Linked DNA regions of Mus musculus. The main gene of each other region encodes a partner of the protein of the gene in region 2 in a complex. Links are inferred from orthologs where the notes say so. Each region holds a gene or a part of one and is shown on either strand. Other genes may lie near its edges. The genes, in order: Drc7, Drc1, Efcab2, Tcte1, Drc3, Fbxl13 and Iqcd.

What was found.
Region 1: Drc1 (region 2) and Drc7 share a complex: the UniProt entries of both Homo sapiens proteins name them as parts of the nexin-dynein regulatory complex. The link is inferred for Mus musculus from reciprocal best matches to the Homo sapiens genes DRC1 and DRC7.
Region 3: Drc1 (region 2) and Efcab2 share a complex: the UniProt entries of both Homo sapiens proteins name them as parts of the nexin-dynein regulatory complex. The link is inferred for Mus musculus from reciprocal best matches to the Homo sapiens genes DRC1 and DRC8.
Region 4: Drc1 (region 2) and Tcte1 share a complex: the UniProt entries of both Homo sapiens proteins name them as parts of the nexin-dynein regulatory complex. The link is inferred for Mus musculus from reciprocal best matches to the Homo sapiens genes DRC1 and DRC5.
Region 5: Drc1 (region 2) and Drc3 share a complex: the UniProt entries of both Homo sapiens proteins name them as parts of the nexin-dynein regulatory complex. The link is inferred for Mus musculus from reciprocal best matches to the Homo sapiens genes DRC1 and DRC3.
Region 6: Drc1 (region 2) and Fbxl13 share a complex: the UniProt entries of both Homo sapiens proteins name them as parts of the nexin-dynein regulatory complex. The link is inferred for Mus musculus from reciprocal best matches to the Homo sapiens genes DRC1 and FBXL13.
Region 7: Drc1 (region 2) and Iqcd share a complex: the UniProt entries of both Homo sapiens proteins name them as parts of the nexin-dynein regulatory complex. The link is inferred for Mus musculus from reciprocal best matches to the Homo sapiens genes DRC1 and DRC10.

What each region holds. Positions count from the first base shown.
Region 1 is NC_000074.6:95,061,436-95,065,474, reverse strand, and holds part of Drc7 (dynein regulatory complex subunit 7), read right to left. Parts: intron 3,763-4,039; coding exon 3,604-3,762; intron 3,299-3,603; coding exon 3,080-3,298; intron 1-3,079. UniProt on the Homo sapiens protein: Component of the nexin-dynein regulatory complex (N-DRC) a key regulator of ciliary/flagellar motility which maintains the alignment and integrity of the distal axoneme and regulates microtubule sliding in motile axonemes.
Region 2 is NC_000071.6:30,340,222-30,344,260, forward strand, and holds part of Drc1 (dynein regulatory complex protein 1), read left to right. Parts: intron 1-1,442; coding exon 1,443-1,530; intron 1,531-2,446; coding exon 2,447-2,559; intron 2,560-4,039. UniProt on the Homo sapiens protein: Component of the nexin-dynein regulatory complex (N-DRC) a key regulator of ciliary/flagellar motility which maintains the alignment and integrity of the distal axoneme and regulates microtubule sliding in motile axonemes.
Region 3 is NC_000067.6:178,404,707-178,409,246, reverse strand, and holds the start of Efcab2 (dynein regulatory complex protein 8), read right to left. Parts: upstream 3,230-4,540; 5' UTR 3,145-3,229; coding exon 3,114-3,144; intron 1-3,113. UniProt on the Homo sapiens protein: Component of the nexin-dynein regulatory complex (N-DRC), a key regulator of ciliary/flagellar motility which maintains the alignment and integrity of the distal axoneme and regulates microtubule sliding in motile axonemes.
Region 4 is NC_000083.6:45,521,623-45,526,319, reverse strand, and holds the start of Tcte1 (dynein regulatory complex subunit 5), read right to left. Parts: upstream 2,887-4,697; 5' UTR 2,749-2,886; intron 1-2,748. UniProt on the Homo sapiens protein: Component of the nexin-dynein regulatory complex (N-DRC) a key regulator of ciliary/flagellar motility which maintains the alignment and integrity of the distal axoneme and regulates microtubule sliding in motile axonemes.
Region 5 is NC_000077.6:60,351,606-60,356,247, reverse strand, and holds the start of Drc3 (dynein regulatory complex subunit 3), read right to left. Parts: upstream 2,869-4,642; 5' UTR 2,816-2,868; intron 2,147-2,815; 5' UTR 2,048-2,146; intron 1-2,047. Other genes in the region: Tom1l2 (TOM1-like protein 2), read left to right, coding at 3,440-3,491. UniProt on the Homo sapiens protein: Component of the nexin-dynein regulatory complex (N-DRC) a key regulator of ciliary/flagellar motility which maintains the alignment and integrity of the distal axoneme and regulates microtubule sliding in motile axonemes.
Region 6 is NC_000071.6:21,523,161-21,527,199, reverse strand, and holds part of Fbxl13 (dynein regulatory complex subunit 6), read left to right. Parts: intron 1-2,647; coding exon 2,648-2,746; intron 2,747-3,282; coding exon 3,283-3,400; intron 3,401-3,488; coding exon 3,489-3,651; intron 3,652-4,033; coding exon 4,034-4,039. UniProt on the Homo sapiens protein: Substrate-recognition component of the SCF (SKP1-CUL1-F-box protein)-type E3 ubiquitin ligase complex.
Region 7 is NC_000071.6:120,598,619-120,602,657, forward strand, and holds part of Iqcd (dynein regulatory complex protein 10), read left to right. Parts: intron 1-1,409; 5' UTR 1,410-1,500; coding exon 1,501-2,220; intron 2,221-3,707; coding exon 3,708-3,941; intron 3,942-4,039. UniProt on the Homo sapiens protein: Component of the nexin-dynein regulatory complex (N-DRC), a key regulator of ciliary/flagellar motility which maintains the alignment and integrity of the distal axoneme and regulates microtubule sliding in motile axonemes.

The DNA.
Region 1 (4,039 bases), on a different chromosome or scaffold from region 2:
ATAGAAAATACAAACAGAGATTTGTTTAAAAGGCAAAGGTAGCCTTGCTAACATAAACCAAAAGAAAGCTGAATAAACTATATTTATGTAATGCAAACAGATATCAGGATTAAAAATATTGAAGGAGGGAAGATGGGCATTTATAATACAAGGGGTCTGTTTATCATGAAGACGTGGCCATCTTAACTGTGTATTCACTACATTACATATTTCTAGAATATTTGAAGCCAACACCAATAGAAGAAACAAAGAAGTCCAACATTCTAATCCAGGGTGCAGATAATGTCAGGCAGGAGCTTTAGAATATAGAAAACCAGCAAAGAAGACCAGGGAAGAAGTGAGCACCATCAACAGGCTTGTGAAGATTGACATCCAACAGAACCTTCTAGTCAGCCTCAAAAAATAGTCATTTTAGTTAAATTCACAGAACATTTGAGAGGTAGCATAAGCTGGACCAACAACCAAGCTGTAAGAAGATAGTGGGGGTTACATGGTAAACATTCTCTAAAAACCATACAATTAAAAACTGAAATAAAAATAGACAGATCACTGGGAAACACATCTACATGTCTATAAACAGAACCTTTGTTTGTTTTTTGGGGTTTTGTTTTTTTGTTTTGTTTTGTTTTGTTTTGTTTTGTTTTGAGACAGGGTTTCTCTGTGTAGCCCTGGCTCTCCTGGCACTCCTTCTGTAGACCAGGGCTGGCCTCAAAAGATCTGCCTGCCAAGTGCTGGGGTTAAATGGGCATGCCACCACCATCTGGCTGAAACACCACATTTTAAAATGACTCATGGATCAGAGGATAAGTGAAAAGGAAAAGGAGAGAGAATTTTTGAACTGGGAAAAAGGGCGGGGGAGTCGCTGGAGTGAAATGAAGGTCCTTACTAGCAAAATAAAGCCAGCCAGGTTCATTTCTTAAGTTTTCACCTTAAGAAACTAATCAATAAAACAAACATTAGAAAATAATAAGGATCAGAACAGAAATAAATGAAACAAAGCTATATGAAAAAAAAAAATCAACAGAACCAAAAGCTAGTTTGTTGACAATTCCAACACTATTGAAAAGCCTCTAACCAACACTATTGAAAAGCCTCTAACCAAGCTCATTAGAGGAGAAATCACTACATTATCAGTGTCAAGATTGAGAGAGTCTTTAAAATAGTAAAAGAAAAATAAGGAGCTATTAACATTTTATAGCAATAATTTGAAAATTTAAACGAAAGGGACCAAATTTTCAAAAAAAAAAAAGAAAGAAAGAAAGAAAGAAAAGGAAAAAAAAAAAGAAAAGAAAAAAAAAAAGAAAAGAAAAAGAAAAAAAAAAAGAAAAAGAAAGTACCAGAAATTACTCAAGAATAAATGTCCTGAGTTGGGTGTATAAGTCTCAATGGCAGAGCATTTGCCTGGAATACTCAAGGTTTGGGGTTTGTCTCCAGCACTGCCAGATAAACACGTTATCCAAACTGAATGTGTCATTTAAAACATCCTACAAAGAGAACTTGGGTTGGGGGTGGGGGTGGGGGTGGGGAAGAGAACTCTAGACCCAGATGACGTCTAAAGAAGAAACAACACTGATTTTATAGAAAGTCACCCACAAAAGGATTAAAACTGACCTCCCAGAGAGAACAGCCCTGGAGTCTTTCTAATTCTTAGAGTTAATAGACAGATTTTAGACTTTCTGAATATGAGGACCGTCTTCAAAAGGCCAGTTGTAGTTTTGAAACAACGTAACATCACCTTCTGCCCACAGAATGGCAAAAACAAGCGGCCTCGCTATGCACACCTGGAATCTCAGCGTTCCCGAGGCTAAGGCACAAGGCATGGCTCCGGGGCAACCTGGTCTGGAGTGAGACCTCATCTCAGACTCCCCCAAGCAAACACTGAGTGTAAGGAGCAGGAGGCTGTCCAGACTCTCACAGAGTGCTGCTTTGAATCGGTCACTTTTGCAAAATGAGAAGAATCTACTGAGATGATAGGTGACTCTCCCAAGTCTTAATCCATCAGAGGCAGGTATGTATGTGTTCCCTGAAATGCAGGGAGGGAAGTGCTCGCTGAAGCACTATCCAAATAATCCCGTGCTGGAAATGGCCTAAACATGCCACTCTAAAACAGCAAAATGGGTTCTGGTTTGCTTCAAGAACAGGGAATTAATGAACAGTAAACACGAGCAACGCATTGCCCGGCAGGAAATGGACAAATCTCTCAAACATCTCCACGACTTGACAAACCCAACACAGAAGAGTACGTGCACCGTACGACTCTGCCGACCAAGTGTGTTAAACAAAATGATGGACCCTTAAGAAGTCAGCACTGGCTCCACCCCCATAGGCCATGCCACCTGCCCCTACCCCCGCCCTTCAGTGACGTCTCCCTGTGGACGTATGCATCCTTTCTCAAGTGAAGAGTGTCTGTATAAAGGAATTTTTCCTTGTTTTTGTAGTATTAACCTGTACCTGATAAGCACCTGCTAGACCACAGAGCTTGTGGGTGGAGGGGTTATTGGATGGGAGTGGGCAGGTGCTGGTATGTAGGGGAGTTCATTATCACAAACCAATCTAACAAGATGCGCCCTTACAATTGTGCACCTTTTCGAGAGAGAGAGAGAGAGAGAGAGAGAGTGTGTGTGTGTGTGTGTGTGTGTGTGTGTGTGTGTGTGTGAATATGCAGCTCATAGGACAACTTTCAGGAATCAGTTCTCTCCTTCCACCATGCGGACCCTAGTATCTAACGCAGGTCATTAGGGTCGGTGGCAAGCACTTTACACAAGAGGATTCCTGAGGGATGGGCCGTATTCTTTCTTATTCTGGGTACAGGAAGCAGGGCCTTCGGTGGACAGTGTGCTTAGCCCTTTAGATGGACAACCTGCACCCAGAGTTCATTTGCATAAACCAATAAGCATATGGGTTAAAAAGAATGCACATAGCAAACTGGTGAAGTTCATCTTGCCAGAATGGCCCTTGATAGCTGTGGGTGTGGAGTCTGGGACTTCCACCAGACCCTGCTATCAGAGGGTAGGTGGCCAGGCTCCCCACAACCCCCCATCCCCGGTCTTTACCCACCCCTCTCCCGACTCCGGCACACCTTGCAGCAGTTCCAGCAATCCTGCATGTTGATCCAGTAGTTCTTGTGGTTCCAGAGGCTCTCAATGCCCAGGAAGTGCTCATCCTTGGTACTGTAGCTGCGTGCAGTCAGAGGGTCGATGAAGAAGCTCTCAGGCACCTCTCGCTTTCCTGCCAGCACCAGGACCCAGGAGTGTACCCGCAGGCCATGCAGGGGGTCGGGCTTCGCTTTCTCTGCCTCCTGCACAGGGAAGGTGGGTGACCACCAGCTAAGGGGAACTCTCTTTCCAACATTCCTCCTTAGAATTCCAGGTTTCAACCACTAAAATGGTGGCAGTGGCGGGGGTGGGGTGGGGGGTGGGGCAGGTGACCAGATCTGTGGCTCACTCTTTGGGGCACCCTAGGTGAGATTTCATCCAAAGAAAGGCAATACATTCTATGGGTAAGGAGCGCTTTAGTGAATCTTAAGGGAAGGCCTTATGGCCCTGGTATGTTATCCACTGGGCCCACCGGGTCATGTCAGAGTGCAGTGTCGTGGAGGCCCACCAGGATGCGATCTTCCTCTTCCTTAAGTCGCCTTTGTTCTAGATCCTTGATCTCCTGTATTCTCTTCTCCTCTTGCTCCTGCTCAAACTTGCTGGTCAGGTCCCGGGGCGGCTTGATGGAGTATTTCTTAGGCACCGTCTTCTCTTTCTTCTTGACTATCTGTCACCCAAGAAGAGTGGAAAGTCGCCCACTGCACCCTTTACAGGCTTAATGGGATCGGGGCCTAGCCCTGACAGAAGAGGGAGCTGCCGCCCCAGCTCCAGGACCTGAAGGGAGGAGTGGGAGTCGAGGTGGAGGATCCTCTTTATGGATCAAGACTAGCTGCATGGCAGAGAATACTAAAGACCTCCCCACCAGCCTGGCACAAGAACATTACACACACACACACACACACACACACACACACACACACACACACACACACACACACAAGGGC
Region 2 (4,039 bases):
TTGGGCTGTAGGACATTTTCTTAATTAGTGATTGATGGGGAAGGACCCAGCCCATTATGGGTGGTTCCATCCCTGGGCTGGTGGTTCTGGGTTCTATAAGAAAGTGGGCTGAGCAGGCCAGAGAGCAGCCCCGCCTCCCCGCCCCCCCATGGCCTCTGCATCAGCCCCTGCCTCCAGGTTCCTGCCCTGTTTTTGTCCCCGTGCTGACTTGCTTTGCCGATGAAGACTTAAGATTTTTTTGTTTTTTTGTTTTGTTTGTTTTTTGTTTTTCAAGACAGGGTTTCTCTGTATAGCCCTGGCTGTCCTGGCACTCACTTTGTAGACCAGGCTGGCCTCAAACTCAGAAATCTGCCTGCCTCTGCCTCCTGAGTGCTAGGATTAAAGGCATGTGCCACCACGCCCGATGAAGACTTAGAAGCTTAAACAGATTAAACCCTTTTCTCCCCCTAGTTTGCTTTTGGCCTTAGTGTTTCCTCACAGCAATAGAAACCTTAAGACACAATGTACCCTGGATTACCTGGGGTCTATGCTGAGGGGTCCTGAAGGTCCCTGCCCAGCCACCCATTGGAAAGGTCAGTTGACAGTGACAGCAAAGGCTGGGCATCTGCTCTGACCTCGAGGGTTTTGAGTGTGAGTAGCTGGCAGGTCTTAGACTGTTGCTTTCTAGTTGATTATTATTGTAGAACCAGCCAGTGAGGCAAGGCCTGCCAACGATAAGGAAGTGCATGCCGCCCTGGGTTGGTTTTAGTGTCTGTCAAAGCCCATTTACCAAGCATACCTGTTCCCTTCTGGAACCCAATATGAAGCCTGAGGGCAGGAGTCAGAGAAAAGTGTGGCAGATGGCATCAGCTGGTGTCCAAATGCCACACAGAGGAGATGCCAGCTACAAGGCATCATCTCGGTTGCTTATCCTGCTCCTGCAACAAAGGCAACTTGAGAGAGAGAATTTACTTCAGCTCATAGTCCACAGCCGGGGAGTCAAGGGCAGAAGTCAGGGAATGGTGTTTTCTACAGCGGGGATGGGACGTCCCATCCCAGCCAGATCCTCAAGATAACCCACATGTACAGTCCAGATACCTGTCCCAGGTGATTCTAGATTCTGTCAAACTAATGGCTCCAACCATCATGGGGACTTGATAGCATCCTGTCCTTTTCACCTGACTAGATTTATTCAAAGATGGGCTTTGTATCCTAAGGTTTTCTGTTCTCTTTTATTTGCTTGTAGTGTGGGATTTTTGTTGTTGTTGTCGTCGTTGTTTGTTTTGAGATTGGATTTCTCTATATATCCCTGGGTACTGGCTTTGTAAACCAGGCTGGCCGCAGAACTCATAGAGATCCACCTACCTGTGCCTCCCGAGTGCTGGGATTAACGGCGTGTGTTTAAACACAAAGCACAAACACTCATGACTGCACTGTCCTGCCTTGATGTCTTCCTGCCACAGGGAAGCCCTGGGAGAGTATTTGGACGGGAAGAAGGAGAGTGAGGAGGAGCAGAGCAAGAGCTACAAACAGAAAGAAGAGAGCCGCCTGGTACGAGCTGAGCCGGCGGTCGCAGAGTCTCGTAGCCTGGTTTTCATAGGCAGGAAGTATACCTTCTGTGTTGCTGACTCTAGATGGGGCTGTCTCGTTTTGGGGTTCCCTAGGAGTGAGCTTTCAAACTGTAGGTTCCTGTCAGGAAAGATGGCACGTAAGTACAGGTACCCACAAGACGGGGACAGGAGTGCTCTGCTGGAAGACTGGCCTAGGATATGATATGAGCAGGCCTCAGAAACAAACAAGTGAGAAATTGGGGCAGGTTGGGTGGGTGGGGATGACTGGGGTAAAGTGCTTGTGTCAAAAGCACAAGGACTAGATTTCAGATCTCCAACCACATGTAAATGAGGAGTCAGTAGGGTGGCAGAGAGCCCAAAGCAAGCTGGCTTGGAGCTGACTGTGTAAGGCTGGGTGGGTGGCACACGCCTGTTTTAATCCTACTACTTGGGTGGCAGAGGCAAGCAGATCTCTGTGAATTCCAGAACAGCCTGGTCTACAAAGGGAGTTCAGGACAGCCAAGGCTACACAGAAAAAATCCTGTCTGAAAAAACAAAACAAAACATCATGTAGACCAGGCTGGCCTTAGAACCAGTGATCCACCTGCCTCTGCCTCCTGAGCTCTGGTTTTAAAGACATAAGCCACTGTGCTCCTCTCTCTCTCTCTCTCTCTCTCTCTCTCTCTCTCTCTCTCTCTCTCTCTCTCTCTGTTTACATTTAACGTCTCTACTTATGTGCCCCGGGATGTATGTGCTGTGCTGCCTGTGGCAGTCCAAGGACTTGTGGCGTGGGAGTTGATTCCTACAGTGCGGGTCCCGGGGTTGAACTCGCGGCTTGGCAGCAAGCTTACACAGTGAGCCATCTCAATAGCCCAGAATAGTCTAGATTCACAGCTTGCCGCCTCTCTGTTTTCCAGAAACTGACTAAACTCCTGCTCTGCGGGACCGAGTTGGTGACAAATATTCAGGTGGCTGCAGACGTCAGAGAGATCCACAGGAGGGTTGAAGAGGAGGAGACAAAGCGGCAGAGGTAAGGGATGTGCTGCCTTTGTGCGCCACAGTCGCCACGTGACTGCCCTTCCACTCTCCCAGTCCTTGGAGCGAAAATTTGTCCAACCCGGTCTCATGGAATCCCCTTCCTGCTCCGTGTGAACCCACCGTCCTCCTTTCCCCGCTTCTTCCCTCGTCCCTCCCTTCCTCAAGTGTCCCAAGCTGTGTGGGTGTGAATGGAGGGCCGGTCGGTCCCTTGCCTCTGACAACACGGGACACTTAACAGCGGTCTGTTCTAAAAAGGAGATCAAGGAGATCAAGGAATGTAGGAAGTCACAGGAGGAGGCTTTCGGTTGGAGAAAACACAGCAGGAATTTTGGGTTGCACTGGGAAGGCCAAGTAAGGTTTAGGCTGTCGCGTAGGCATCTTAGGCAGAGGCGTGCAATCTCAGAACATGTCTGGGAGTGGCAGGTGCGGCTCAGATGGTGCCTACAGCCCTGGGAATGATTCTTGCAGGTGAAGCCTGTTGAGTAGGAGTTGCTGGCAGAGCGTAGGGGTGGAGGTGGGGGTGTGTGCATGCACCTGAAGTCAATGCTTGCCTCGGTCAGCAAACTTTCCTGTGGCGCTAAAGCTGCTGCAGGATTGATGGAAACCTGGGCTTGGAGCGCCACCCAGTGTTTAACCTGCAGAGGCCACGCCAGCCTCAGATAAGGCAAAGATAAAACTGCATTTAGTGACAAAGTGATGCTTTGTGAGGGAAACACTAGCTTTTCTTCCTCTTATCTGGGCTTCTCTGGTCTTGGTAAACACACTGGGAAACAGTGTGGCTTGTTTTCTGCTATCTGGCATACATTTAGTCACCGGAAGTCATGCTGTAAGGTGCATTTACTGTGCTGAGATTTAGAGGCGTTGTTTAAAGGCCACATGAGAGTGAAGATTTGGAGGTGAAGGCAGAAGCCCCCCATCACCCCCCCAAAATCAACTAAGAAGCTCAACATTTAAATCAATTAAGTGACCAAACCCACAGATAGCTCAGAATTAGGCACATAGAGGCATAGCTTATAAAAGAAACACTGTAATAGGTCCTGTGTGCTCTCAGCTGGACAGTGAGGTACAGGATCATATTCATGTTGTGGTCCCTGCACTAAAGAAGTTTAATCCCAGCCTTTAATACCAACACTTGGGTGACAGAGACAGGAGGATCTCTGTGAGTTTGAGGCCAGCCTGGTCTACAGAGTGAGTTCCAGGACAGCCAGGGCTACATAGTGAAACCCTGTCTTGAAAGAACAAAACAAAACAAAGGGAAGTTGTGGTCTTGTTTAGTGACAGTATAGTCAGCAGCATTGCTCCCGTCTCCGCTCTGATGACTTCCTCTCTGTCACATCATCAGTGCACCCCACACAGGGCCTCTCTGGAATTTCTAAAAGGCATTCCTGACTTCCTTCTCAGACATCCCATTAGTTTAGCTGGGGCGGAACGATCAGACACCAGAGGCTACGCTTGATAAAAAAACCTACATA
Region 3 (4,540 bases), on a different chromosome or scaffold from region 2:
CTTGTTTTCCATTTCTTCCTCTCTTATCTCCCTTACTGATAACCTCCCCTTTGGGGAGGACAAAGACAATGCCTTCTTCATCTCGCTATTCACTAAAGTTCTGCCCTGATGTAAGGGCTAAAGTTAAGCTTTAAACCCCACTCGCCCAAGGACAGATAACTCCCAGGAATGCAGAGGGCTGTTGTTTTTGTCAGATAATGAATCCCTGTTCCCCTTCAATAAACAAAGTTTGTTGTCCCAACTGCACAGGATGTGCTTGGTCACATCCAGGCAGGAGACGCACAGGCAGGAAGGAAGTCAGGATGTATGCTTGCCCCAGTGAACCAAGGTGGAAAGTAAGGAGTTTCATGAGCCTGGCCTAACAGGCACCTGAAGGATGGAATTCATCACCATTTCTGTAAGAATCCCACATAGGGACATGGCCAGTGTCCATCTTCCTGGCCAGTATTTAATAAAGCTTACTTCAGTTGGACAACCATGGATTCCATCTTCCTCATCACAATTTTCAGGTTTAACATTCACCAGACTACTTTCCATGAAGCAAGCATTAAATATATAAGAAATTGAATATATGAAATCCAGCTTTCAACAGCCATTACTTCCACAGTTAGTTGCAGACTGAACTGTTTTTTCTCCTAAACTTACACTAAACATTAAAATATGTTTTGGAAACTAAAGAAACAGAAATTCTGTCTGTCTCTGTCTCTCTCAAGCAGGGATAACAACTGTAAAAATCAGGCTGGGTGTGGTGGCACACAGTTTTAGTCACAGCACTCACTCAGATGCAGACAGGTGCATCTCTGGGAGTTCCAGACCAATCAAAGCTACAAGGTGAGATCCTAAGTGTTGTGTGTGTGTGTGTGTGTGTGTGTGTGTATAATTTTACATTGTAAAAACTTGCAGTATACTCCAATGCTACCCTAAATAAGTCTTTAACTTAAAAAGAAAAGGAGGGGTCTGGAGAGATGGATATTTGTTCCCACTGTGTTAATAACACCTATTGTGTCTCTAGTTGTGGTGTGTTTCAGCTTTAGCATATGCATTTATCCAAGAGTTCTCTGCTTGAATATTATAAACAAAATTAAATAAAGTCAACCATAAGTTAAGAGGTGGAACAAGCAACCAATTGACAGAGAGTAAACATAGGATTATTTAAAAAAAAAAAAAAAAAAAAAAAAACAATGTCTGGGACACTGGCTGAGGAGCAGGGTCAGCTGGGTGCTTTCTCTGCTTCTCTGAGCTAGCAAACTTTCACCACAGATTCTGGCTCCCGGGTTTTCATTGGTAAAACCAAATGATTTAGATTTTGTTTAAAAAACAAAACAAAACAAAAAAAAAACCCAAAAAACAAAAAAACAGATGGCTCAGAGGTTAGAAGCACTACCTGCTCTTCCAGAGAATCCTGGATCAATTCCCAGAACACACATGGCAGCTCACAACCATCTGCAACTCCAGTTCTGGGGGATCCGACACCCTCACAAGGACATACACAAAGGCAATACACCAATACACATAAGGTAAATTAATTTAAAAAATAATTCATCCCCTAATGATTTTCTCCTTTACTTTTTTTGAGGGGGGTAATAAAAGTATAACTAAAAAAAAAAAAATACTTTCTGGGGAAGCTTTTTTTTTTTTTTTACCTAAAACTTTTTTTTTTTTTTTTTTTTGAGACAGGGTTTCTCTGTGTAGCCCTTGTTGTCCTGGAACTTACTTTGTAGGACCAGGCTGGCCTCGAACTCAGAAATCTGCCTGCCTCTGCCTCCCAAGTGCTGGGATTAAAGGTGTGCACCACCACCCCCGACTCACCTAAAACATTTTTTATACAACATATTTTGATCATATTCTTTCCCTTCCCCCAACACCTCACCGACACTCCCTGCCCTCTAACTTCATATTCTTTGTAAAAACAACAACAAAAAAGTAGAATAAAACCTTCCATTTCTAAAATAGCACCACAAAAATCTTGATACCTTAGTAGAGTTAAAACTCTATACTACAATGCCGACTTCTGAGATTAATTTTACCATCTATAAATCACAGGTCATCAATAAGATCTCTAGCTGCCAGGAGTGGTGGCGCACGCCTTTAATCCCAGCACTCCGGAGGCAGAAGCAGGCGGATTTCTGAGTTCGAGGCCAGCCAGGTCTACAAAGTGAGTTCCAGGACAGCCAAAACCAAAAAAAAAAAAAAAAAAAAAATCTAGGGTCTCAAGTTTCCCTGCTGGGTTCCTGTAATCACCATGACAATGGACTAAACAACTCGTGTAAATATTAGTTGTTAACCTAACTACTGTGTTCCAAACCAGAGGGTGGGGGTGGGGGTGGGGGAATACAAGAGGGAGGGGAGAGAGTCAGCAAAGATGGAGTGTTACTTTCACTTTTTTTGCAATGTTTGCCATTTACTATTTTAGGGCTTGCTTGACTATTTATTTAGCGGTGATGTTGTCAATTTATCACGTAATGGCTGTTGAGTCACAGATCCGATTTTAAGTCATTCGGCTGGGTTAGCAACAATTCAAAAGGTCTTGCAGTTCAACATGAAACATTAGTTTTTCGGGTCCCCTGAGGCCTCTCGGGTACCCGGCCGGTCTGGGCGGCCCGACAAGTCCCGGCTGGGTTTTCTTTAAAGTGATTAAAGTGCGTGTTCCTTATGCAAGGCTCTAGCGCGACCCGGGCCGCTAGGGCCCAGTCTGACCTGGAGGCTGCGCTCCGCCTGGCGGAGGAGGAGGCAAAATGGAGGCGGCTGGGGCCGGGTTGGGCCGGGCTGGGCGGGGTTTCGGCACAGCCGCAGAGGATCCCGCCAGGTTCTAGTCGCAGCTCCAGTCCTCCATGAGGCCGCCCTCCGGGTTACCCACAGCCCACCCAGACCGCGGCTGGCGCCCTCACGGGGAGGGGAGGTGCCAGGGACAAGGACGCCATTATGAACCTCCCCGGCGGGGGCTACAACAGCCCGCGCAGACCTCTCGAGGGGACGGGAGGGCGGACGGTGGGGACGCGGGCTGGCGCCGCTTTTCAGCCCACTGTCGCCACGCCGAGGGGCTCAAGATGTTGGCCGGGGGGCGCTTCCTCAGGCGCAGAGGCGACGTCGTGGCACCCCAGGCAGGGTCCTACCTGTCCCTTCCGCGTCCCTTTCCTCCGCCATCTTGGTGCGGAGCCGGTCGCCCGGGAGACATCCAGCACGAACCCTGCGGGACCCCGCGGGCGGAGAAAGCCCCTGGATGCACGGTGGCCCCCCGATCCCCGCCCCCACCAGAACCGAGGCCCGCGTTCTTTGGGCCTAGGGGCGTCATTTATTAACAAGGCTCCGGAACCCGCCTGGGCCTGATTGTGACTGTCAAGGACGTAGTGTGCCTTGCTTATTTCTTTATTCATTTCTTTAATTACTTATTTTATTCAGCTTTTTTTTTTCCCGGCCGTCTCAGGTGCGCCCCAGAACCGGGCGCAGACCTGGCGGCCCCTTACACGGTCCCTCCCCGAAAAGCGTCCGCCCACCCCAACCCCACCCGAGCCAGGCCTTGTGGCTCTCTGGCGTCACCCTCTCCTGAGCGGAGCCACTCTGCCAGTCACGGAACTGGAGCGAAAACGGACATGGGCCAGTGCAGGAGGAAGCCCAGCCTTTCCCCGGGATCGCAGAGAGAGAGAGAGAGAGAGAGAGAGAGAGAGAGAGAGAGAGAGAGAGAGAGGACTTGCTGTAGAAAAACATGTGCAAAATAGGCGCAAACACTGCGTCGCCAAGGCTGCAATTTCTGATACAAAATAGTGTTCTCATAGCAACAAATAAATTGACGGTCTGTTCTCAGGGATACACACATTTTGTATGTTGATGGTGCAATTTGGCATGACCTTCCGATGAGAATTTTGAGTACTGAGAAACTTGGCTATCGCGTGTTTTGTTATTTGATGGATAAGCTCAGAATACTAAGATTCTCCCTTAAATGAAACCCCCCCAAAACAAACAAACAAACAAACAAACAAAAAAAACCCAACAGTTTTGAAATGTCTAACAATGTGACTCAAATTAATATCTAGTTTTAATCTTTAATGATAATTTCATGGTATATGTGTACTTATTTAAATATTTTTGTAAAAGTAACTAAATGTAGAGGCCTTTGTTTTGTCTTGATTTTTCTTTAATATAGTTATTTATTCACTTTACATCTCAGTATTTTATTTTTTATTATTAGTTTTTATTCATCGAAGTTCTGTAATCTCAGTGAATGAACCCTCAAAGCAGGCCAACTGTACTCTTCATTAAAATATTTTTTTCTATAGGCAATAAAGATTTGATGAAGTGTCTAACTACAATTTGAATAATCAGAAAATGGTGCATATCAAGCAAATTTCCCCAGCACTCAGGAGGCAGAGGCAGGCAGATTTCTGAGTTCGAGGCCAGCCTGGTCTACAGAGTGAGTTCCAGGACAGCCAGGGCTACACAGAGAAACCCTGTCTCAAAAAAACAAAAACAAAAACAAAAACAAAACAATAAAACAAAAAGAAAGAGAAAGAAAGAAAGGAAAAGAAAGAAAAGAAAGACTTCC
Region 4 (4,697 bases), on a different chromosome or scaffold from region 2:
ATATGAAACCCTGTCGAAAGAAAAAAAGAGAAAGGAAGGAAGGAAGAAGGGAAGGGGGAAGGGAGGAGGGGAGGGAGGAAGGAAGGGAGGGAGGGAGGGAGGGAGGGAGGGAGGAAGGAAGGAAGGAAGGAAGGAAGGAAGGAAGGAAGGAAGGAAGGAAAGGAGGCTACCCCAGTTTGATTGAGGAGAAAGATGGGAGGAACCAGGGGAAAGGGAGAGACAGGCATAGCTGCTTACAGCATCTGCTGGTAGGCCTTAGTCTGGCTGGCTAGCTCCAGGCTGCCCTGAGGATTCTGCAGGGATGGACAGAAACCTAGATGACCAGATACTCCGGAAGACCCACTGAAGGAAGATAGCTCCAGAAGGGACAGGGCCCAGTGCGGGCTGGAGCAGTGGTTGTCAACCTATGGGTCTCGACCCCAGAGGGTCCCATAGCAGATATCCTCATGTTTTATATTTACAATCCATAACAGCAGCAAAGTTACAGTTATGAAGTGGCAACGGGATAATCTTATGCTTTGGGGGTTTACCACAACAAGAGAAAATGTTCTAAAGGGTCAGCAGCATTAGGAAGGTTGAGACCCACAGATCTACAGACTCATCTTCCTTGAGAGCCTGTGGGGTGGGGAGAGAAATGGAGTTTAGTACTCCAAGGTCCCACTCCTTTCTTCATGTCGGGGATTCTCTTTGGCATTTCAGACAAGCTGGGGCCACCAGAAATGCATGTGTCTTGTGCTGCTGTGTGATGTCCCCACTCAGGGCAGTCTCTGCCCTCAGAACATAGAAGTGGGAGGTGGGTCATGACTTTAATCTTGGGGTCCGTCTCAAGGACCTGTAGGCTTTACATAGCTGCGTCTCTAGCATCAAGTGCAGCCAACCAGGACCACTATTGGCAGGGAAAGGCCATTCTTTCTCTAGGTGTCCCTGTCCTCGGGACCAGGACAGGGGTATAAAAATACAGGACACAAGGAGTCACAACATAAAGGGCTGGGAATTTCTGGGCCTTGGTAAAAGTAATAAAATGGTGTCCCATTTTGGCCGGGGCTGTCCTCATTTTGTATGGCTTTGTATATGGTGGACAGGTGGTCTGGGATCATAACCTTGGCTCTGTGTAGCTATGATTTATTGCATTCTAGACGTGCAATGGCAGATGCCCACAGGGGGCCGGCCCTACAGCTGCTGGCTGAGCGCTCAGGCCTTGGACTGTCTCCAGACACCCCCCACCCCTTGCCTCTCACACCTCAACAGCTTTCAGGGGCATCACCTGTCAAATGGAGACAGTCATTAATATTACCTTCATCACCTATCATCCACTGTAGGTGATTTAGGAGCTAAACTGTGTGACATTTCACACAGGCTTGGCCTGGAGCTGGCACTCGTTAGCAGCCTCCCCTATACGAAGCTCACTAAGCCCTCATGTCCATTATTGACATTTGTCACCATAACACCATTGCCCACACCTTACAAAAGAGGAAACTGAGGCTTAGAAAACTGAAGAGATTCGCTGTCACCAAGCCAGCAAGCCAGACGGACTGCTTATCTGCCCCATGGGCCCTCTTGCTTCTCTGAGGTACCCCTTTCTCACCTCATCTCAGTTCCAGAAAGGTTTCTGGAACTCCCTCCCCCCGTGGGTTCTCTGGTCACCACTGTGGAGCCCCAGCCTTCACCTACTTCGCTGCCGAGACGCTTCCCTAAGGCTGGATTGTGGCCGACTTTGGCTTGAGGTCTCCACAAGGGCCCAAGAGAATGTTGCAGGTTTGCTCTTCTGCCCTGCTCACGCTGGGAGCGCATGTTGCTCACAGACTGGGTCAAGCTTGGATCTCTCCCTCATATTCCTTCCCTTTTCATCCTTCTTCAAGTCCCCAGTAAAATCTGGCCACGTCAGGGAGGTTCCTGCCACTACTCAAATGGGCCTGTCACGCCCCATGTTTCTCTGCAAGTGTAGCTGTGGTGGTCTGCTGCAGGGGCAGGTTAGGGTCTCCATCCACCTCTCTGCCAGCTTCCCACCCACGCGTACCCCATGCTCCCCACAAAGAGCCCTCCTTGGGTCTCAGGTTCCTGTATTCAGAGCCCTGGGCTTTTGTTTACATCTTCCCTGCCCTCTATTGCCCAAAGTCCTGTTGTGAAGTCCCAGTTTATGGGCTGAAGGAAGAGAGAATTTAAAACAAACAAACAAACAAACAAACAAACCAACCACTGTTTTTCTGAGAGCCCAGGTTTGGTCTCTGGCTCAGGGAGATAGCTTGTTCATAGCTTCTGGGTCCTCCCCATCCTAGCTCAGGCATCTGTAGTCAGCTCTATGGAAAGGGACACTTGCAGTAGCTCTACCCACGACTCCAGCCTCCTCTCTTCTCCTCCCCTTGGTAACTCAGAGAGACCAGGTCCATGGGGGACGTGCAGAACCCACAGGGCCTGTAGCATTGTCCTCAGCTGAGGATTGGGGACTCTCCTCTTCCCAGGTCTCCCCATTTCTTTACTTGAATTCTAGACCTCTAGACCAGTTTACAGATAGTCGCTGTGTGGAATGCAGAGCCTGGATCCCACCTCTAGAAGACAGGCGTGATGAGCTGGGGGCTTCATGTAACTGCAGAATGGGTTCTCCCATTACAGGACATACGAAGCTAAGATGACGGCTGCGGGGCCATAGACCCGCGTGGGTTGCAGGAGCTGGCAGGGCTTTGAGCTTAACCAGCATGGTCTGATTGGGGAGATCAGAGTTGGGGGTCCCTTTCCCGGAGGTCACCTCACCTGCTCTGGGGACCCAGGAGACTGCTCTCTGAGGCGGTTGGCTTGGCGCAGTTGGTTGTTAGGGACGCCTGAGTCGCCAGGGGGCGGACCCTGAGCCCTCCGCCCTGGGCGTTGGCGCCCTCCTCCTCGGTTGCCCCTAGTGCGCGTGCTCAGAAAACGACCCTATGCTCTCGGCCTCCGCTCGTGCTTTCTGGCTGCGTGTTTCGGGATGCATTAAGGTTTTCGCGTGGCTCTAGAGGATGTACTTCTGATAAGGAGTTGGGGGGCGGAGGGGGGGAGGAGAAGAAGGCCCAAGAAAAACAAAGGAGACAGGGGAAGCGAGGGACTTTCTACAGTTACTTAAGCCTCTGGAATTCCCCTGTGGTCGAGCTGTGGACCCCAACTCTGCTGGGGAGCCCCTTCGGTTATCTCTAATGTGAACCAAGTATCAGAGGCAGGAAGGGCCTGGGCCTCCAGAGCGCTCCTTCGCTCAGCCTGGCGGAAGCTCTCAAGGCAGGAGAGACGACTCCGGGGATCAGGCTATATGGAATAGAAGAACTCATTCTCTAAAGCAGAGGGACAGCAGACTGTGAGTGTGCGTGTGTGTGTGTGTGTGTGTGTGTGTGTCCGTCTGTCCTAGGAAAGCAAAGTTTAGCTTTAAGCTAGCTTCTCTGGTCAGATTGCCTCTGTTGAAGCCTCAGCTTGGTGGCCACGAAAGAGCTGGGCCCGCGGTAAAACCTAGTAGACCAACCTACCACCAAGGTCCAGCGGTCAAGCCATGCAGTGAGGAGCCATGCTTCTGTCCCCATGTCCCTTCACGCTCTCACATGAGGCTTACAAACCATCGTGTGTATAGTCGGTGGATGATCTTGATTCTGCTGCACATGCCTTGCTTCTCCAGAGCCCGGATTACAGAGAGTGGAATCGTGTTTCTGCAGTGCTGGGGAATTGAACCCAGGGCTCAGTCCATGCTTGGTACTGGGCCACCGGAGCTACATCCTCACTCCAGATGCTTACATGGTAGTCAGTGTGCACTCTGGCACCGTGTAGCCCCACGCTTCGGAGTTAATACAGTGTCAGGGAATCCTTGCTATGAAAATGTGCACTCCCACTGCTGTACCCACCCCTCACTCCTGTGTCTAGGTAGAGCTCTGCCTGGCAGCTTTGTTCTGATAGAGGAGGGTCTTCCCTACATTCCTTGGCTCCACTGTGCTTCAAATGCTGGGCTTCGGTCTCAGCTGCTCTATTTGCGCATGCTTCTGTGTGTATAGATAGGTGCACAGGTATGTACATGCATGTGGCGGGTGACCTCAGGTGCTGTCCTCCTTGAGAAAAGGTCTTTTGCTGCCCTGGAGCTCAAAGACCAGGCTTAGTTAGATGGCTCGTGGAACTGGGGGAATCCATCCCCATCCCCCCCCCCCCCCCGCCCCGTCTCTGTGCACTCTTCCCTGACTGCACAGCTGGGAGATTATGAAGGTGCGCCACCAAGGCTGGCTTTTGTGGCTTCTGCCACTTGAACTTGGGTCCCCATGCTCAAAGAGCAAATACTTTATTGAGCAATCTGCTCAGGCCCGGCTTCAGTTGTTTTCTGCTTCAGCTCCACCTTGGGGCACGTGCTAAATTTAAAAAAAAATATTTATTTATTTATTATATGTAAGTACACTGTAGCTGTCTTCAGACACTCCAGAAGAGGGCATCAGATTTCATTATGGATGGTTGTGAGCCACCATGTGGTTGCTGGGATTTGAACTCAGGACTTTGGAAGAGCAGTCAGCACTCTTAACCACTGAGCCATCTCACCAGCCCCCTGTGCTAACTTTTAAAAGCCTGTTGTTGATGAGGCCTGGTGGTGTATGTTTTCAATCCCAGCACTTGGAAGGCAGAGACAGGTGTGTATCTCTGTTACGAGATCAGCCTGGCCTACACAGGGGGTTCCAGGCCAACCAAACAGAGCCTATCTCAGCAAGAAA
Region 5 (4,642 bases), on a different chromosome or scaffold from region 2:
CTTTGGGAAATGACTCAATTCTGGTGTCAAAACTTTGACCTCTGTTTCATCAAAGCCCATTAACTGTGACAGGTCAAACTAGCTTTCAGTCATGCTAGATAGCATTCAGTCCAGCTCAGCAGGTTCTGTGCAGTATAGGATTGGTGCAAGAACTATGCTAAATGTTTACACCCAGAGAGGACTTTGCCTCTGACTGTGTATCTTTTGAAAAGTAACGTCACCGGCTTAAGTCTTTTTCCTGTTAGGTAGATAACTCCCCACTCTACATCTGTCAATTTTTTTTGTTGTTGTTGTTTTGTTTTTTGTTTTTTGAGGCAGGGTTTCTCCATGTAGCCCTGGCTGTCCTGGAACTCACTCTGTAAGACCAGGCTGGTCTCGAACGCAGAAATCTACCTGCCTCTGCCTCCCAAGTGCTGGGATTAAAGATGTGCACCACCACTGCCTGGCTTTTTTTTTTTTTCTTTACTTTTCTTTCTTTCTTTTTTTTTTTTTTTTTTACATCTGTCTAAGAAAGGACCTGTATTTAGTCCACACATCCATATCAAATAACTACCACATGCTGTGAGCCTTGGACAGGTCCTTTGTTTCAGAGTTGAATTAAATTGTTATACCAGCATTTACTTACAAACATCTTAGTAGGTGTGGGGAATGGTGAAAACACCTAGTAGGGTCAGTTGGCTTGATCAGGGAAGATACAATATGAGGGATAAAAAGAAAAGAAAGCAAGAAGAGACGATAACCCAGTGAAGACCCCAAGCTGGAAAGCAGAAGTGATACAGGGTCTATATTGCATTTGTATTCCATAATGGCTGGCAAGCTCCTAGGGCTTGTAAGGTGAAGATGGATCGGATTTTAGTTTTTATTATAGCTGTTGTGGCAAGAATTACAAAAGGAGTGAGGCTAGCCAGGAGTGGTGGTGCAAGTCCTAGCGCTTGGGAGGCAGATACAAGCAGATCCCTGTGACTTTTTGAGGCCAGCCTGGTCTACATAGTATGAGGCCAGCTTGAGCTACACAGAGGGACCTGTGTCAAAACAAACAAACAAACAAACAAAAATGGAAAGGAAAGGAAGGGGAGGGGAGGGGAAAGTGAGTGACCAGAGTGGTTGTAATACAGAGGGGTGGGACATCACTAGGAACTTAGTTTATAGGAAGGTCTGAGACAAAATCTAGTTTGGAAGGTTATGCCTAAGCTAAAGTAATTGATTGACCCAATAATAGTGTTTGAAAGAGGAGTAGTGCTAAAATCAATTGCCCTCCAGAAGAATTTTGCTAGGAGAGTCAGAGGTTCGAGGCCACAGACAGCCATGAGGAGCCCTGAAGTGAGAGGGCACTAGGAGAGATTGCATCAGAATCTTGGCAGCCACATGGTGCCCAGAAGAGAAAGACAAATCTTCCAGTTCCATTAGCTCCCTCAGATCCAGAGAACAAAGGGACTTACGACTCACAGTTTTGGGGGGCGGGGGGGGGGACAACGACAGTGGTGGCTTTTAGTTCTATACCATGTGACCTGACCTGACCTAGTCTACATGACTCCTGGCACGGTGGCAGGCTTAGTTAAGAGAGTAAAGTTGCAATTCAGGTATGTCTTGGCCCAGGAATCAGGGGAAGCTGGGTTTGCTCACATCTGTAAGGAGTGAAAGAGAGAACTTTGTGAAAGCTACAAGGTCAGAGCGGCTCTCTATAACCAACCTTGTGAAAGGATACTGAAGAGGTGTGGCCTGACTTCTGAACCACACTTGAATTAAATAAATTATCCCAATATCTACTTACAAACATTGACAGGTTAGTGGGTGTATGGAACTATGAAAGCACACAGTAGGGATCTCTGTAAGAGAAATTTCTCGATTGACTAATATGAAGATTTACCAAGAGGCACGACCTCATGTCTAACACAGAATCCACTTTCTTAATCACAACTCTATTGTACCCAGCACACTAGGGACAGACATTGTCACATGTTCTCTGCCTACAGAACAAGGCCCAAAGAATCCTCCCCTATGGGGAGGATGTCAATAATTTATCCAAATGGGGGTCCCATTGACTTGCCTGATGATAGTGTCCTTGGTGAAGACCAGAGGTAGGATGTGGAGAAGCAGCAGAAAGCTTTACAAACAAATCAACCAGGTAGCCTCGTCACTGGTTTACCTGGGAAACAACAGCCTGGGTTAGCTGGACCTGAAACACTATGTAGACCCTATGAGTCCCACAGTAATGAGAATAAAAGCAACTGATGAGAATAAGTCCTTGTCGTACTCTCAGTGCACTCCACTTATTTAACTCCATGCCAGTTCTGGGAGCTATTTAAAAGGGACATCTTAGTGTCCCTACTTCCCAGATAGGGAAATTGAGGCTTGAGGTATGTGTGTATGTGGGGGGCCGGGGGGGGGGTCTGTGACCAAAGTCATAGAGTGAATTACTGACAGAGACTGAGATGGAACCTTGATATCTTTATTCTCATCGCAAACACTTCATACGGCACCAAATGAAATACCTTATTGCAGATCAAGAGGATGGATATAACAGCCAAACTCTAGAATGAGTTATCAGTGTATCGGGTACCTCTCTTTCAGTGAAACGAATCAGGCCAGGAAACTGGCTGATGGACCCTTTTCCTACTTGCTTTTGCTAGTTTAAGATTTTATACGCTCTTTTCTTTTTCAAAAGCCCGATTAAGTCTCAGTACAAGTGTAAAAATGACATGTGTGCTCATTTTACAGATGAGACGGGTCAGGTCGGAGTCCTCCAAGAAGAGTTACAAGACAGACCTCAATCATGCAACCTCTAATCTTCTGGAGCTAAACTCTTGATTCTTACCTTCCTAAGGACTGTCTCCCCTTGCAGTAGACGCTTCGTTTGGTTGCTGGGGAACCAAACACCGCCACTTGGTTGCTAAGGGGAAGTCAAGCGATAAATATCCTGGGTGAAAGTTGATTCGTCACGTGGCCATATTTCTAACACCAACCAGACTTGAAGAAAACAAACGTTTCTCCAATCAGCACAGTCAACGAGCTTCAACTTCTAGTTACGCTTTCTTTCTGCCCGCCTATGTAAACGATTGACACACCTTTTATCCAATAATAGTAAAGATTCTCTAGACTGACCAACGTGCTAATGAATCAAGAAGAACGGCCACTCGTTTGGAGGCGGGTCCGGGGGTTGTGCCGCTAGGCTGACGGAGACCCTAGTGACTTAGCTTGCTTCGTGCCCAATCGGACGCCGCGGGGTGGGTGGGACTTCACTGAGAGTGGAGTGTCGTCCAATCGGAAGTGGGCTGGTTAGACGCTGCCCAATAGAGATGCACCCAGAGGGCGAGGTCAGGCCGGGCGCTCAGCGTTCCGGAGGGTGGGGCGGGGGCAAGTGTCAGTCAGGGCAGAACGCGGCGCGGGCAGCGGAGACCCGTGGCACACAGGAGTCCGGGCTGGAACGAGGCCCGCCGAGATGGAGTTCCTGCTGGGGAATCCGTTCAGCACCCCTGTAGGGCAGTGTCTTGGTAAGGCCGCGCGTGGGGCAGGCGTCGAGTGAGCCACAGCGGCTGACCGGGCTGGTGAGATCCGCGGGCCTCCTCCCGGCACTGAAATCACCTCACGTGCGGGTTGGGCCTCTGCCAATAAGTGGTGTCATCTCAAAGGTGGACTGGGCATCCTTGTCACGAGGCCTCTGCCTGACGCTGGTGCCACCTCACCCTACAAGGAGGCTCCCCCGAGGTGCCGATTGGACTTAGAGAGGTCCCCGGCATCCCTGCCCATCAGGGCCCAGCCTTTCAAGTCTCTCCCCAGAAGTAGTGTCCATGCTAGTCTGCTTACCCTTGCGTATTGGGAGATGTCACTGCGAGTACTCTTCCCCAGGTATCTCGCTGCCTTTGCTCCCAGGGCCTCTGTCTCCCGGAGCCTTTGTGGAATGGAACTCTTTCTTCCGTCCTTGTCCCTGCTCATTGGTACCAATGGCTCTGAGGCTGGGCACTTTCCCAGAAAATGCCCCATGCTGCACGACTTCTAATTTGAGCTGCAACTCAGTCAGGCTGTAGGAGGGACTGGGATGGGGGAGGCCCTCGGGGAAAGTGACTGGCTTGGCAGGGGGATGGCGTGGCGGCAGAATCTCCTAGGCCTCCTAGGAAAGAAGGGAGGCAGGGCTGCTTTGTTGATAAGCAGTCCATTGGATCCCGGAAACTTGGACTCCAGTAGTGACTTTGCCAGGGACGCTCCTCCTGACCTTGTGCGCTTTATATTTTGACGTTCTCTTGTCTGCCACACGGGGTATTTGGAGATAAGATGTGGTGGGACTCTTCAAGTTCTAAAGTTCTGAATCTTCCTTGTTGATATTAAGCGTCTCCTTACATTGCCTCTTGCTCTCCCACTACATAAAGTGGTAGTAGAGTAATCAGAGCAGCTGTCAGTAGTGTAAGGAGTTAGAGGCGGGCCGCATGCTGCATAAGGAATGGCACTGGCCGCTGTGAAGTTTCCTTACAGAAGAAAACACTGGCAGACCAGGGAATAGTCCAGTGGTAGAGCATTAACTTAGCACACACAAAATCCTGGATTTGATCTAGGATCCAGCACTGCAAGTAATGAATAATAAAGCAATTTGGCCTTTCATCCAAGGTGGGAGCTTATGCCAACAGATCAGTCAAAAGTGCTGACTAGC
Region 6 (4,039 bases), about 8.8 Mb from region 2:
CCCCCCTGGAAGAAGTCATGAAAAATTCCCTCAGGAATCCACGGCAACAATACAAAATGTCTCCTCCTTTCTTATGGCTTTCTCTCCCTTTTTATCTACTAAGCTGATTCTTGCTACCGGAGCCAAGGCCAGCACGCCTCCTCCCAATGCTTCTTACCATGTGTAAGGCAGCAGAAGGACAGAACTCCTCCCTAGCATTTAGATTGCTTTGCTTTACACATGGGCTACCTTTCTTGACGTGGGTGAGCCTCAGACGGTAAAGTCAGCCTCAAGAGGAAGACGGAGCTTTGCCCCAGCAAATGGAATTCTGCCTGAAGACTACAACCTTTCTTGATTTTTGATTCAAAATTACAATTCCTGAAATTTCAGCTTCCTGTCTCTGGTTTATAGATTTCAGACTGCCAGCCCTTAGTATCCAGCAATCCGATTTTTTTTCTTTAAAACAAACAAACAAACAAACAACAACAACAACAACAAAAATCAACAACAAAACTAGATTTCCTAGAACTATGTAGACCAGGCTGGCCTTGAACTCACAGAGAGCTGCTTGCCTCTGCCTCCTGAGTGCTGGGATGAAAGGCCTGTGCCACCACACCAGGCATGATCTGATTTCTTAAAGTGAATCTTTCTCTTCAGAGATTTAGACAGGCATCTGAGTTTCTCTGAAGAACACTAATACATTTTCACACTACATATCTTTCTAACAATGATGCACTTGCAAGTGACCTACAGATTTTAGAATTTGTTCAGCTTTAGTTCTAAGTGGATCTATATTTCTGACAAGCTCCCTGGCAGCAGAAACTGCTTCCCTGTTGTCTTAGTTAGGGTTTCCAATGCTGTGAAGAGACACCATGATCAAGACAACTCTTATAAAGGAAAACATTTAGTTGGGGCTGGCTTACAGTTTCAGAGGGCCATTTCAGCAGGCAACTCTCTTTTCTTAGGATAATTTTGTTCAAGAAGAACTCTTGACCCAAGATACATATATTTTCTAGACCTTAGAATATTCTATTGCTAGATTCTACTTCTGAGGATGGCGAGTGCTTGCCTTAGTGCTTAACCTAGCTCAACAAAGTTCCAAAGCAGTGTATAAACTGGGCGTAGTGGACATACATGTAATTCTAGCACCCAAGATGGTACAGGATCAAAATAATCAGCTATAAAGTAAGTCCAAGGCTACCCTGGGCTCTGCGAGAACAGTTACTTAGATTATCCCAATATACTCACATCCAAAGTCAACAGCTTTAGCAGCAACTCTGTGTATTCAGCCCCTGGACTCAAGGTTGTCAAAATTTGCTGATTAGGAGCATGTATCAAAGAGGATTCTCTGAATCTTTCAAATATTTGTATGTCTGATCATATATATAATCATACTTGTTGATTGTCTATTTACCTGGTGTCATGGGTGGTGGCCTGCTAGAAACTGAGTAGCATTGGTTCAATAGCTAATCATAAACCAGTTTAGGATGTTCCATGGTGTTGTATGTGTATAAGAGAAACCTGGTCCAGGCTCTTCCTGAAGAAGTGACATTTGAAATGAGCTCTGGTTGTTTTGAGAATGTGGCTTTCAGTTCTGTAGTTGTTCGCTAGTCCTTTGCCAGTAGGCGAGGCTCTGGTGACAGAACCCTGGGAGTCCCCTGGGTGAGGTCTCTCTGAAGGTCTTGGAAGAAGTCTGTTGTAGATGCGACTCCCATTTTCTGTGCCACGCTACTGTGGAAATGACATGTCACAGGCATCCATCTGTTCCCTGAAGTCCTCAGTTTCTCCCAGATACAGCTGAGTACCAAGTGTTCCCCATCTTAAAGAACTAATTATTTTAAGGTAATTTATCATATAGTTATTTGTCCCAAAGAGGCAGAAAACAGATTAGTGACCAAGGGGAGGGGTTTGTGACAATCAGGTGCCTGGTTGCTCATGTTTTCCATTTGGCTTATGAAGGTGTTTTTGTGATGATACAGGTGGTGACTATAAAACATTGTCTAGGACTGGAGAGATGGCTCAGCAGTGAAGAGCACTGACTCTTCTTCTGAAGGTCCTGAGTTCAAATCCCAGAAACCACATGGCGGCTCACAACCGTTTGTAATGAGATCCGATGCCCTCTTCTGGTGTGTCTGAAAACAGCTACAGTGTCTTTACATATAATAAATAAATACATATTAAAAAAAGACCCAACAAACAAAACCAAAAAAAAAAATTGTCTATATTATGTGAGCTTTACTTCATTAGGACATGAATTAAATGACAAAAACAATCAGGACTGGATCCTTCCTGTCATGTCAGTCCTATTTTATGGTTTTAATTCAGGTTTATTTATTTAAAAATTACATTTATTTATTTAATGTGTGTGCGTGCGTGCTTGTGCACATGTGCAGTGAATGAGCCACATGGATCTTGCTGAGTTCAGAGTACAATAGCTATGTACAAAAGGCTGAACACTGTGTAGCTGCATTCATACTAAATGCTAGAGTCAGTTCTAGCTTCTGTCCTGTGAGCTCCGGGTCTTGAACCTGAGCTGTTCGGCTTGACAGCAAGCACTTTCAGCCCATGGTTTTAATTTTAAAACGTGGAAACTTCATGCATCTGTGATCTGGTGATCATGAACGGCCTGCTAATTACCTTTCCCACGCTTTTCTCCCGTGTGATTCAGATCTCAGTCCAAGGCTTCAGGAACATCGCCAGCAGCTGCACGGGGATTGTGCACCTTACTATCAACGACATGCCCACTCTGACGGACAACTGCGTAAAAGTGGGCCATGAGGAAGAGCCTCTCCCTTCTCTTATCTGAGCACACATTCCAATAGCCTTAGCTATTGAAAACTATGAATTGACTTCTTCTTTGTATTGATTAATAGCTAGGAAATCATTTAAATATGTACACATACACACATGCATGTATCTCAAAAAACATTTGAATGCTTCAATCTTCATGAAGATAAAACCAAAGCACACTGGAAATCCTCCCAACTAACTACGACCTAGCCTCAGCTCTGCTTGGCTTAAGTCTGATGCCCCATGTCAAACTGCCGACTGACTGACTCTGCACTCCATTTCCTCATGTTTGCCCATGCTCTCCAAACATGATTTCATTTTCATTTCTCCTCAGTATTGAAACATGAGCATATTGGTTTCATCAAATATGAAAACAGTCCTATTTGCTTTAAAATTGGGAAAATGCAATAGTCAGCATGTTTGTCTTTCTAAAAAAAATGCAGGGAGACGACACTATCCCCTCGCTGTCTCCTTCTTCCAGTAATCCTGTCTCCTTTCTTTCCTCTTCTGAAGGTTTTGGTTGAGAAGTGTCCCCGTATTTCGTCGGTGGTTTTAATTGGTTCACCACACATCTCTGACTCTGCTTTCAAAGCTCTTTCCTCCTGCGACCTCAAAAAGATTCGATTTGAAGGTCTGTGACGCTAGAAACTCAATTTATCCTTATTTTTAATTTTTCTTTCCTGTACATTGAAATATAGTACTTGTATTTCCTCCAACAGGAAACAAAAGGATTTCTGATGCGTGCTTTAAGTCGATAGACAGGAATTATCCAGGCATCAATCACATTTACATGGTGGACTGCAAAGGGCTAACAGACAGCAGCCTCAAGTCACTTTCACTTTTGAAGCAATTGACAGTGTTGAACTTGACAAATTGCATAAGGTAAGAAGACATTCATGGTATTCAAAAAATATTGATTATCTAGGATGCACCACTAGGTGCCTGGGAGGAGCCTAGACGAATCGCAGGTAAGCTAAGAGTCCATTTTAAACTGGGGAAAAGAGTCATTTCCCTGTTGTTAATAATCATGACATCTAATTAAACAAATGGACACTAATAACATCTTGTGAATATCCCTTCCATTACTATCATCTATCCTTTTTCTATTATAGTAAGAGCTATGCAATCAAATTTGTTTCTAAAATTTGACAAAATGGTATTATTGTGTGTATTGCCTACTTTGGACTATAATTGGTGTAGAAGCAGATGCCACCACCAGTTTGTGTATGAGGTCATATGTGACAATCCTCTCTCATTTCTACAGGATTGG
Region 7 (4,039 bases), about 90 Mb from region 2:
CCTCCCAAGTGTTGTGATCAAAGGCATGCACCACCACTGCCTGGCTTAACTTTATTCATTTACTTACTTACTTACTTACTTACTTACTTACTTACTTTTGGAGTTTTGAAAATATACTTAGGCAGGCCTTGAACTCTCAGCCATCACCCTGCCTGCGCCTCGTGGGTGCTGGTCTTAGCAGATACCACATCTCCTGAAACTTTCTGTACTCTGTATTTTGAAGTTATTGTTACAACTCTGCCCCAGTTTTCAAATCAATACCCCCAAAAAACTCACCCGGCCAGGATCAGGAGTGGTGGCTGTCTTGGGAAAGTACCTGCCACACAGGCATGGTGAGCTGGGTTCCATCCCCAGAGCTCACACGAAAAGCCAAGGACGTAGGCAAGAGTTTGTAATCTCAGCCTTGGGGAGGTGAACCCACTGGCTTGCTGGCGGCCAGCCTGCCCAAGCTGGTGAGGTTCCAGTTTAGCCAGAGACCCTGTCTCAAAAAGTAAGGAGACAGATGAAGAAAGACACCTGATAGTGATATCTGGCCTGCATGGGGACATATAATATGTAGAAGTGCACACATGCACATGTACACACATGCACACACTATGCATACCTGATCACAGATGCTCCCGGTGTGTGCTGGTACACAGTCATCCACCCTGCTTGGCCTTGCCCCTGTTCAGCTCTGTCCATGTCCTGTCCTATCCTGTCCTACTCTGTGTGACCTGTCCTCCTGTGTCAGTGTCTGCTCCTATTCTGTGGCCCATCCTGCTCTGTCCCTGTCCCGTCCTAATGTTCGGCATGTCCTGCTCCTTGCCCCAGACTCCTCCGCATCCTGGCCTGATGATGTGGTACACCAGTGGCCCAGGCTCTTGAGTTGGTTTCCTGCTGGTTTAGCATCAACGTGGGGGGGGGGAATGCAAGTTGGGGCTAGGACATTTCCACTCTCTGATCAGACAGTGCTTGCAGTCACAGCTGCAACTCCTCTGGGGTCTACTGCCCCTGGTGAGCCCAACACATGTGGCTTCCTGCTGCTGGAGCTGCTGGGTGACCTCAGTTGCCTGAAGCTGTCCTCTCTCTGTTTCTGCCTCTTGGGTAACCCTTGGAGGTTGGTCCCCAGAACAGAGGCTGCTTTTTGCCTGATAGATGTGCCTGCAGCTGCCCTCCACCCTCAGGCCTCCTACCCCCACCCCCGCTGGCTCAAGCACCATCACGAAGCCAAAAGATAAGCTTGCCAGGGTGGTACACGCCTATAACCGTAGCCCTCAGATCGGGAGGAAGGGACAGCCTAGGCTATAATGGACCATATCTCCAAACCAAACCTTGAAGACAAAAAAGCTAAAAGTAGCTTTGAGGTTCTGTACAGTGGTCATCATGGCCAATGGCGATGTACCTCACAGTCACCCCTTCCTCTGCAGGGTTACTGGAGGCTGTGAAATCCAGGAGAGCCTTGAGTTGGCGGCTGCCTCAGTACCAGATTATACCGAGGCAAAGGCAGCCTCTCCAGAAATGGCCTTGGACCAGGTCAGCATACCCCCTTCCTACCACGGACTGGCCATCCAAAGAATCCCACTGAGAACAGGTCTAGTCCCAGCAGAGCCGATGAAGACCTTAGTCCCATCCAAATCCAAGCTCAACACCATCGAGGCCAAGAGGATCATGTCAGTCCTGGATGAGGCCATACACAAGATAGAGCTGATAACCCTGATGTCCTACATGGAGTCCCACCCAGAGGCTCTGGAGGACACGCTGCCCGAGGATTTCGTGAGAGCCCTAAGAGAGCACTTGGACATTGGCCAGACCCTGGTGGAGAGGGCCAGCATCCTGCAGAGGAGACACAAGAAGCTGGAGGAAGAGGAAGAAGCCGAGGAAACTAGGAACCAGGAACGCCTACTGTCCCTAGAGCTGCACAAGGTGAACCTGCTGACGCTGGCGCACCAGTTCCGAGACTCCACCAAGACTGTCCTGAGGCTCGTGCTGGGCGAGCCTCAGTTCACCAGGCTGTTACAGGTACAGGCGCCAGGCAGAAGCCCGGGGGCCCAGTGCCTCCTCGACGGTCTGGTGGAGCTTCGAGGTTTCCTCTTTGAGAAGCTCCTCACCAGCCCCATGGAAGTCAGGGAGAAGAACCAATTCATACAGGACATCAGCCGGAGGAGCGAGAGGAACCAGGAGGTCATCGATGACCTCCAGGCTGAGCTGGCCAACGTGCTGAAGAACAAGGAGTCAGAGGTACACCTCCCTAAGGCATCCCCCAAATTAGGGGAGAAACCTCACCCAAACAGGCCAACCCTCTGGGATTTGCCTCTTCTCTCATGGGTTTCAATAGCTCTCTCCCTTCATTTAATCCTCAGAAATTGTTCTGAGCATTTTCCTAGGAGGTCTGTCTGTAGGAAAAGCCCAACCTCCGGAGCTCAAGGAAGGACAAGGGCAGGGCGCTATCAAGGGATGATGTAAGAGAACTAAATCCTGGCCAGAAGGACTAGGGACAGCGCCACTAAGACAGGGAGGACACAGAAAGCGGGATTGAGCCAGACAAGCAAGGCAGACCTTCCCAGCCAGGGGTTGGCAAAGTGTCTGTGTCACTGGCTAAGTGGGTCCTTTGTCTCGGGTAAGATAGACACCAGACATGTGGGGGAGGAGTTGGAGAGATGGCTCAGAGGTTAAAAGTGCAGGCTTTTGTCTGTTGGAGTCAGGGTCTCACTCTACAGCCTTGACTGGCCTGGAACGCCATAGAATCCCACCTGCCTGTGCCTCCCAAGTGTTGGGATTAAAGGCATGCGCCACCACTCCCAGTACACATTGCTCTTACAGAGCAACAGAGGTCAGTTCCCAGGCCCTCTGGCCAGCTGCTTGCAAACACTGTTTACTCCAGCTCTCCCGGGGAATCTCACGCCCTCTGCTGGACACCACAGGCACCTGCATTCACTTGCATGGGGCCAGGCATGGCTCCGTGAAGACAAAGCCTTCTGTGCGAGCCAGGGGATTTGAGTGTGGGCTCCAGAGCCACTCTGTTCCCTGAGACTGGGCAGGCAGGGACAGGAGTCAGTGGCCCACCAGCCTAGCATAGCCAACAAGCTCCAGGCCAAAGAGAGAGGTGTATGACAGTTGAGGCTGTACACACAAAGGCTGTACACACAAGCACACACATGCACACATGCAGGCCACTCTATAGCTGTGAACACAGAGCTGTGACATCCAAAGCTTCCGCAGGCAGCTTAAAGTGCACCTGTACCTGCATTCCAACCAGCCCCACCCCCACCCAGATTTTCCTAGAGAGCGTATTAGAATGAGTCTCAGATCTGTTGCATCTTGGCAGCTGTGGGTCGTCCATGGCTACTGTCTTCCTGCACACACTTGCCAGCTTTCTTTCTGGCTCCATATCCCATCTCCAAAGGGTCACACATCCCACACACTGGGCTCAGTGAGCTAACGGTCTCAACATGTCTCTGTTGTTAGTGTGGAAGCAGCCATGGAGAGTATCAGGACTGAAGGGCTGTGTCCCAATAATACTTTATTGACAGCTATGGCTGGCTGGATTTGCCCTGTAGGCCTTGGCCAACCCCTTTCCTAGGGGAGGGGAGCATGTGGTCCCAGGCCGGAGAGACGCATAAGCCCCTAGGGGAGGGGCACAACCAAAGGCCAGCTGTCCTGTGACTGGGAGTGGGAGGACTGCGTGGCTATTAAATAGGGCCCTGTCCTCATTCGTCCTGGCCTAGGTGGAGAAGGAGAACTTTGTGATCCAGGAGCTGAAGAACCATCTGCACCAGGTGTTCAAGTTTTCGGAGAACAGCCTCCTCCGCACGAAGCAGGAGGCCGAGAAGCAGCAGAAGGTGGATTTCCGGGCCTCCCAGGTCAGGCTGGCCAAGACGCAGCAAGATATCCTGGCGCTTCGGGCACAGTACCACAACCTGGTCATGGAGAACCGGGAGGCAGAGCAGGCACTAAGGAAGGTGCCCTGAGGTCTCAGGGGTACAGTGGGGGTGGGGGTGGGGGTGGGGGGCAGCAGGGCTGGCCCAGGGGTGCGAAAGCCCAAGATAGGTGGGATCTC